Drosophila melanogaster: one gene and its partner. The protein of the gene in region 2 interacts with the protein of the main gene of each other region in a pairwise test. Each region holds a gene or a part of one and is shown on either strand. Other genes may lie near its edges. The genes, in order: CG14569 and CG4622.

Region 1 (3,162 bases), on a different chromosome or scaffold from region 2:
CGCAGAACCGGACGCTGCGGGCGGAAGGCAGAAAGTCGGTTCAGAAGCGGCAGAACATACTGAGCCTGGGGTGGTAGCGGCAGACTTGCCAAATTAATTATAGCTGCGCTTTGTGGCAATGTGTTGGAGCTGTCATCATTGGCTGGCTGGTCTGGAGGTCCGTAGGTCTGATCGGGAGGTCCATAAATTTGGTCCGGTGGGCCGTAGACCTCAGCTGGCGCTTCCACCAAAGACGGTGGTCCGTATGTTTCAGGTGGAGGGCCATATGTATCCTCCGGTTGAGGAAATTCAACCGCCTCCTCCGTTGGCAGGTCGAATGGCGGATCGGGGACCAGGCCTGCTGGTGGATATGGGGCTTGTTCCTGTCTTTGCAGAAACCTTCCCGCCGCGGGTCCTGGGAACCTCAGATGACTGCCTTCAATTCCATTCAGGCAAAGAATGGAACAAAGCGCAAAGGTGACCAGAGAAGCACTTGGATAACCGGACATTGTGGTGTGCTGACATGAACTGCTGCATGGGCGGCTAAGTGGCGCCTATAAATACCCCCTAGGAATGCCCTTGGGAACTGCCCAATTCAAACGCCCGAAGAAACCTCGAGGCCGATGACTTATAAGCCAGGTCCAACGATACGTGCCCATGGAGGTGGTGACTAAGGCGCGTGTAAGTACTGGCTGTTATGAAAATGTGTGGTTAGATTTCTTTAAAAGGGAGTGCTTATACAAAATAATTGTATATTATTTTTACACAGGAATAAAAAAAATAATAAATATAACGCTTTCCTATTAGTTTCAGTATGGATTTCATTTTAAATTGAATTTTGTAAGTAATATTTTGTAAATATATTTTCTGTGTACGGTGAGTGCATGATATCGTTAGAATAGATTCCAGCCCTGTATCAAAGACACTAGAATAATTATTCTAGAGTCTTTGCCTGTATGATATTTCCTTAAGTCTGACGCAGTGACGTATTTGCTTACGCTAAAGTTTTAAAGTCTACCAACTGCGACGCAGGATTAGACGCTGAGGAACGGGCCTCTGGGAACGCCGTCCTTGCGGAAATCGCTGGTAGAGTCGGGCGGACTGGACGGACTGTGGCTGGTCAAGACTGCTAGCTACAACGATCACAGTGCCATCCTCAGCAACATCCAGCTGCGGTTCATCCTCCTCGGCGTCCTCATCAGCGGGCTGCAGCTTGGCACCGTCAACCGATGCTTCCTCAGTCTCTGGAATATCATCAGTCTCGATGGGATTCTCTGGTAGCGGCTCAGCCTCGGGAGCAATAGCCGGCACGGAGTCGGTCTCTGGAGGTCCATAAGTGTTATCTGGTGGCCCGTATGTGTTGTCCGGAGGTCCATAGGTGTTATCAGGCGGCAGATAAGTGTTCTCCGGCTTGACAGTCGAACTGGGTAAATCGAAGGGAACACTCGGGGTGATGCCCGCCTCCGGATATCCGGTGGGCGAAGGACTGGGTATAGCCTCCACTTGGCGCGCCAAGAACCTCCGGCGGATCGGCTCCGCGGAGCTCAGCGCCAACAGGCTCAGGACAAGAATAGCAATTGGTGCGCCAGTCGGTTTAAACATTTTCGCGGTTGAAGGGCTTCTGTTCTGATTTCTCGATCCGACACGACGTATTTATAGCCCCAAGCTACCAGATCGAATTCTGCTATAATTTATGCTCGTCACTTTCAGTTTCAGGCTCTTATTCCCGGTAAAACTTTGATTATGTTGCGCTGATCGGCGGCAATGTAGCTTCAGCTTAATACCCGATACGTGACCCTTTTTCGAAATTGATTTTCCAATGCTATGATTTGGAATAGGCCACCCTTTCCCTCCTTCGCAAATCATTCATTAACACTTGGAGTGAGCTGTGAACACTCGAGTTTGTTTGGTTTTGGGTTCTTGGCAGTTCATAATTTTATTTGATGAACTTTGTATTCATGCAAAACAGAATAGGCTGTGAAAAAATCCATCAAGCACGCACTTTTAAAAGCACGTCCCACCCATTTGCAACATTTGGACAGTTTCAATCAGGGTCGATCGAATTCAAAAACAATGTTATTTACTATTAGCTTGGCTTTTGGAACACTCATTTGCCTTACCAAAAATTATTATATTCTGAGCTTTGAGTTTTTATCATGGTAAGTGAAAATCGGGTTAAAAAATATAGTATTCATACTCCTTACTCGTAGAGTAAGATGTGTTGAAAATTATGTAACAGGAAACTTTTCCGACCATATAAAGTATATACATATATGATCAGGATCAATAGCCGAGTCGATCTGGCCATGCCCGTCTGTCCGTATGAACGTCTCGATCTCGGGAACTATAAAAGCTAGAGGGTTGAGATTAAGCTTACAGCTTACAGCTCACAGCTTCTAGAGAAACGCCCACTCTAACGCCCACGAACCACACAAAACTGCAACGCCCACACGTTTGCAAATTGTTTTGACATTTTGCATATTTTTATTAGTCTTGTAAATTTCTGTTGATTGACAAAAAAGTTTATGCAACGCATTTTATTCACCAATATCTATCGATATTCCAGGAAAAGTATGCAAGTTCGCGTTCGCATTTCCACTAGCTGAGTAGTTGGTATCTGATAAGCAGGGAAGCCGAATATAGGATTTCTTGTTTGATACTGCTTGGACAAGATTTTTAATAGATAATAGAGCACAGGGTAACTTGTAGTTGAGACTCCCGAATCACTTTTGTGATTTGATCCTGATTAAGAAAATAAGATCTTAATAGAAAAGCAAATGCGTTCATATATCTGTTAGCTCCAACAACAAATTAAATATGTTTTGCTTCACTAACAACAAGACAGACATATTTTGCAATTTTCAATTTATGACAAAAGGGTGGCTTGAATATTAACGCAATTATTTTATTATTTAAATTAAAATATTCAACAACAATTTATTTAGCGACAAAGTAATAAATGCATATCCTAATGAGTCGATTCCATTTGATTTCTAGCAAATTAGGGTTGACCCATTTCAGATGGTGTACACCAGAACTGATCCAGAGCGGATAATCTGAGCGGATCGAAGCTTCTCTGGGGTCGGACGACGACTGAGGAGGCGTTCGTTACGAGGCTGGATCAAGCCGGCGGGCACGGGATCGGCAGCAGGGGCCTGGTCCACTGGGCCATCAGCCGGCGGT
Region 2 (5,307 bases):
CAAAGTGAAATGCAAACAAATTGCCAGCACATGTCGCCGGATCGGAGGAGCAGCTATATGAGCAGCACTTCAGATCGGAGATCGATCAAATATGACGCCGTTCATTGGCTCCTTCCTGCGACGATGACGCCATTCGATCGATCGGCCCAGTCGCCCCGGATCATCCATTCAACCGCTCCTCCAACTTTCCCTCGCCTTCTTCTGCGATACTGAAGCCCCTTTTCGCGGTCCATGTTACATTATCTTCAACGCGGTTCGCATATCAATTATGGCACTCACGCCGGCAAAGAGCGTTAAAAATAGCCGCCTGCAGCGACGATGATGCCATAAATCGTGCAACTCGAAGCCAATTATCACCAGATGCTCAGCCCACAGCCAGCAGCCAAATCCAAATCCGAATCCGAATCCGAATCCATCGGGGAAATCGAGCCGAGCTGAGTCGCCGTACGCAAGCTGTTGCACTTTGCACTGAAACGTCGTCGGGATCTCTGACTAAACGAGTGCTACATGTGCATTGAGTGCAAAGGGTTCCCCACCCGACCACAACTTGCACTCTTTGTGCCCACCACTCGCAGGTAGGGATAGTAGGGTTCATTTGTCTGGAGCTTATTCTACCTTCCAGCAAGTTGAAGTCATAATGTTACAATAGTTGGCGATAGTACAGCGAGCAATTGACTATGACGACAGATGGATGTATTACTCTTGATTTATATATACTTTCGACACTAAGTACTAAACAATGACGACCGATGGCCTGGGATGAGTTATTTATATTCACTACAAAAATATGTGATTGCTTAAAAACATTTGTTTTGTCACACGAGACCGCAGTAATTAAGTATGACGACACATGAGCGAGCCCTTGATATCATCAACCAAAAATATATCAAATAAAGACCCCTTGGTGGAGCATACTTTTAAGCGAGAAGCCTCACTTATCGCGAATAGTATTCATAGTATTCATATAAATATATGAATATTTCGGCGACCGACTGATGAACTTTCTCAGAATTCCGATTCCAATTGGCAGTCCCCCCAAATGCCCCATTCCCCTTCCCATACCCATTTCCATTTCGGTGTTTTCCCATCTCGCGGCCATAAATCTGCGAAAAAATGTGCTCAACTTAATTGAAGACATCAGCACGGCAATAAAAAATCAATTTGCGCAGATCCTCAGAGTCGTTCGCTAAAACAATACGAGTATATTCGTTAGCGATTATATGTGTTTAAATCATTATCGGCACAAATTCGCTTTCATGTTGCTGATACTCTCGAAATTGCTCTCGAAATAGCCGACGTCGTCGTGTCTGCCTGGTTTTCATTCAGCATTTCAATTTTTCACCCGGGGTCGAAGGAATTTCACACATGTTCACACAAACGGCCAATTGGCACAGCGCGCAGTGGAAAAATTTGCGAAAAGCGCGCTGTTAATCAAATTATTCAATAGTTCGGAATGCCACAAATGCGAGTGCATAGATATATATATATATATATTCATATATATATCGCTGTCATCGCTGTAATTCCCGGCGGGCGCGCAAATTGATAAAATATGCAAAGTAAACAAATGCCCATGTTTTGGGGGCCCGTCCGCGTCTGCGTCCGTTCGCAAATTGGCTCTCCTTTGAGCCGCCAAAGACGAGGGCGGGGCGGGGCGGACTTACATCATAAATTAAGCCCGCCGACAGATGGCAAATAATGCAATAAACATTGAAATCGCCGGTGCTATTTATAGAGCGCTCCTGCGATAAGATCGTCTGCGGCACCGACTGCAACTGTTGCCACTATTGCAATTGCACCTTTGGGTGGAGAATGGCATGGGCATGGACATGGGGATGGGGATGGGGGCCCTATTTTTAGCCAGTCGGTAGACGGCTGTCGGACGAGGTCTATTTATAGGGTCTCCGCCGTCCTCCTGCCCATCCGCGATGCGGATCGAGCAGCAGATCGATGCCACCTGGGCGAGAGCTGCCCTTGCCCCTGTCCTTTGGCGGCGGCGTGGAGCTGGGCCGACATCGTGCTGGGTTGGCCCACATCTGCTTGGCCAGAGAGGTGGTCCGGGCAGTTAATTAATCTGATCGCACCTATAAATAGGCATCTATTCTTAACCGTGTTTCCGGTTTCCCACACTTTTGCAGATGTGTTCCCGCAACATAAAGATCTCGGTGGTGCTGTTTCTTGTCCTGATACCAATCTTCGCCGCCTTGCCACACAACCACAATCTGTCGAAGCGCAGCAACTTCTTCGACCTGGAGTGCAAGGGCATCTTCAACAAGACCATGTTCTTCCGACTGGACCGCATCTGCGAGGACTGCTACCAGTTGTTCCGCGAGACGAGTATACACCGATTATGCAAGTAAGTTTCCCTAGGGTCCCACAGCCCCAGCCATACGTACACATACATACATACAAATATCTAACAAAACCACAAAGCAGCATCAGTGTTCCTTACAGCGTTCAAGGCAAGGCCGTCCAAGAAACACTAATTATGATCTTAAGTGCTGGCAGACCCTGACACAAATACAATTGTCGGGGTATCGGAAAATGATCGCGGGACCTTCGGTTGTTTCTGAACTTTATGGGCCCGCTTTCCCCGCTACTTTCTCCTCGACTTTCTCGCACAGAGACCGCTGCCTATTTGGTTTCTTCCATTTGGTCTATATCTCTCTCTCTCTCTTTTTGTTTCACCCTATAGTCACTTAAATATTGTAGTAATAAGTTTATCACCTTTTCGTTTGACTTCCCTCTGTGCGAGTCCTACATCTGTGTTTCTTGTCTATTCGATGCAGGGCCAATTGTTTCGTCCACGAGACCTTCGGGGATTGCCTAAAGGTGCTGCTGATCGACGATGAAGAGATATCGCAGCTGCAGCACTATCTGAAAGTGATCAACGGATCACCCTATCCGTTTCACAAGCCCATCTACCACTAGACTCCTAACTTCGACCACTTTCGTTTCCACTTCCGTTTCCGCTTTCGTTTCCGCAACGACTTCATTTTCCTGATTTCTTACTGCCTTCAGTTACCTTTACCGTTGTGTTTCATTTTGATTTTCGTTTTCAATTTTAGGAAAGACTGCTTTGATTCAAAATGGTTTGGCGAATGCCTGAAAGTGCTGTTAATACCCGAAGAGGAAATATCCAACCTACAGCACTTTCTGAGAGTAGTGAACGGCTCGCCCATATCCTTCAACATGGGGCCGCAAACATAACTCTAAGTCCCCGCCCCACACACCCACAGCCCCAACACACCATACACCATACAGCACACAACAAACAACACACACCACACACAGCTGAGAATCGGTGCGAATATCGTGGGTTGGAACGAGCATCCGCATCCAGATATAGATCCAGATCCAGATCGAGAAACAGTCCCACTACGACCACACATGCAGAGCCAGAACACAGAAATCTAAAATATTAAAACGCCCAAATTTAATTCGTACTTATTTATTACTGTATGCCTTACAGTTTTTACTATATGTGTTTTTTTAAAAACGAATTATTTTTATTAATTTATTGAGAACGTTATGCGTTTGTTGTAAGTAACATAATTGGGGAGTGGGAGATGGGCGATGATGATGATCAGATGATGATGATGATGATGTGCAGGAGGAGGATCGCAGATCTCGCACTCCCCACATATACATAGAAGCCGAAGTATTTATTTTTAAGTATTCTTAGCTTGTTTTATTATTATTGCGTTATGCGGTTTGTATATAAAATAAACAAAACGAAATCCATTGTTTTTAATCTATGTAATGTAAAATGATAACTTTTATTTTTGTATCTGTATTCTACTGTAAAATCAGCATTTAGAGTTTACATTTTACACGATTTTCCGCAAGGGCAAAACTACAATGATAAAGATAAACCCATACGAACACACACATACACACATACACACATACACACACACTCACACACACACATATATACACCGCAATCGAGACCGAAAGTATTTTGCAAATGTATTACACTTACAATTTTGTGCTATTTTGTAAAGATGAAACCCTGAATTAGTGTAAATCTGTTGGCGCAAAACGGAGATATGTATTTACCTATATAGTATATAGTATATGCATACCTATCTAAAGCTAAAGCCTTACATATATCCGAATACGAGTACCCTACACACATGCTAAATATTAGAGAGAAACGCAAGATCGCAATTTGTGCAAGACACAAACAAAAACCTGGTAAAAACACGCGAAGAACGGAACGACTGCATTACAAATGTGGCAATAAATAATACATAATTAATAAAACCCTGTAAATTAATAAAGGATAATCAATCATTCGCTGGCTATTTGAGAGCATCAAAATTGTGATAAATGAGAATTAGAATGCGAATGCGCGACGCAGGACACCGCCAGAGAAAGAGACCGCCATACAGAAGGCGACAGAGACAGACAGACTGCAGCTGGCGATTTGCGCGCGTTTCTGGCGCGACTAAAAACGCCTGCTTACCGTTTTTGTTTTGGTACGTTATAATTTTCTTTTGTTTTTAATTAATTATTTGATTTTTGACCTTGTGCATTCTTGGCTTTTAACTAGCACTCAAGCTAAAAATTTGACCAACTATGCTTTACTTTTTGTTAAATTCCTCAATAATCCTCGAACTGTTGAGCTCGTATTTTTTGAGCAAACAAACAGAACAAGATTTTGAGAACAATAATTTTTGTGATATATTCAACCATACCTGAATATGGCTTTTGAACTTTGGCTCTTTTTTCTTCTGAGCAAGCTATACACCAAATTAAAAAAAATCAGGTTTCCTAATTCCTCCTCCTCCTTTTGTTTTTGAACACAGGCAAGAATGCTTCGGATCGCCCTTCTTCAACGCCTGCATAGAGGCTCTTCAGCTGCACGAGGAGATGGACAAGTATAACGAATGGCGCGATACCCTGGGTCGCAAGTAAAGTGCGATTCTCTGGGATTTTCTGGCACCGTCACTGGCACGAGCAGCTACTTAATTCTATGAACTATTAACTAAAACTATTATTATTGATAACTGTGGCAGAACACGGCACGAAACTATGGCAACCAGGAAACGATCGACCCGAGGAATGTGTACCACTTGAAGAAACAACTAAGCTAACATCTAGCTACAAGAGAAAGCAGAGCAAAAATGTTGAAAAAAAAATTATGAAGACAATTACTAAACTATTACACGCTACTTATCCGCACTTATATCGGAAAGTCTAAATTGGTCTATATGTTATTTCTATCATCTGTCATGAAACAGTCTCGTGGAGCTTTTAGTTGTAGTGAATTACGTAAATTATGCTTATTTCTTTTAGTTC

The links.
Region 1: the proteins of CG4622 (region 2) and CG14569 interact in a two-hybrid assay, tested with the Drosophila melanogaster proteins (one large-scale study listed by BioGRID).

What each region holds. Positions count from the first base shown.
Region 1 is NT_037436.4:21,729,941-21,733,102, forward strand, and holds CG14569 (uncharacterized protein), read right to left. Parts: upstream 1,611-3,162; 5' UTR 1,582-1,610; coding exon 994-1,581; 3' UTR 785-993; downstream 1-784. Other genes in the region: CG14570 (uncharacterized protein), read right to left, coding at 1-488; CG14568 (uncharacterized protein), read right to left, coding at 2,997-3,162.
Region 2 is NT_033778.4:24,553,216-24,558,522, forward strand, and holds the start of CG4622 (uncharacterized protein), read right to left. Parts: upstream 3,069-5,307; 5' UTR 2,932-3,068; coding exon of another isoform or gene 2,790-2,931; 5' UTR 2,728-2,789; intron 2,357-2,727; coding exon of another isoform or gene 2,139-2,356; intron 1-2,138. Other genes in the region: ITP (Ion transport peptide), read left to right, coding at 2,139-2,356, 2,790-2,931. UniProt on the Drosophila melanogaster protein: Scaffolding subunit of the trimeric nuclear exosome targeting (NEXT) complex, a complex that directs a subset of non-coding short-lived RNAs for exosomal degradation. The RNA exosome is fundamental for the degradation of RNA in eukaryotic nuclei.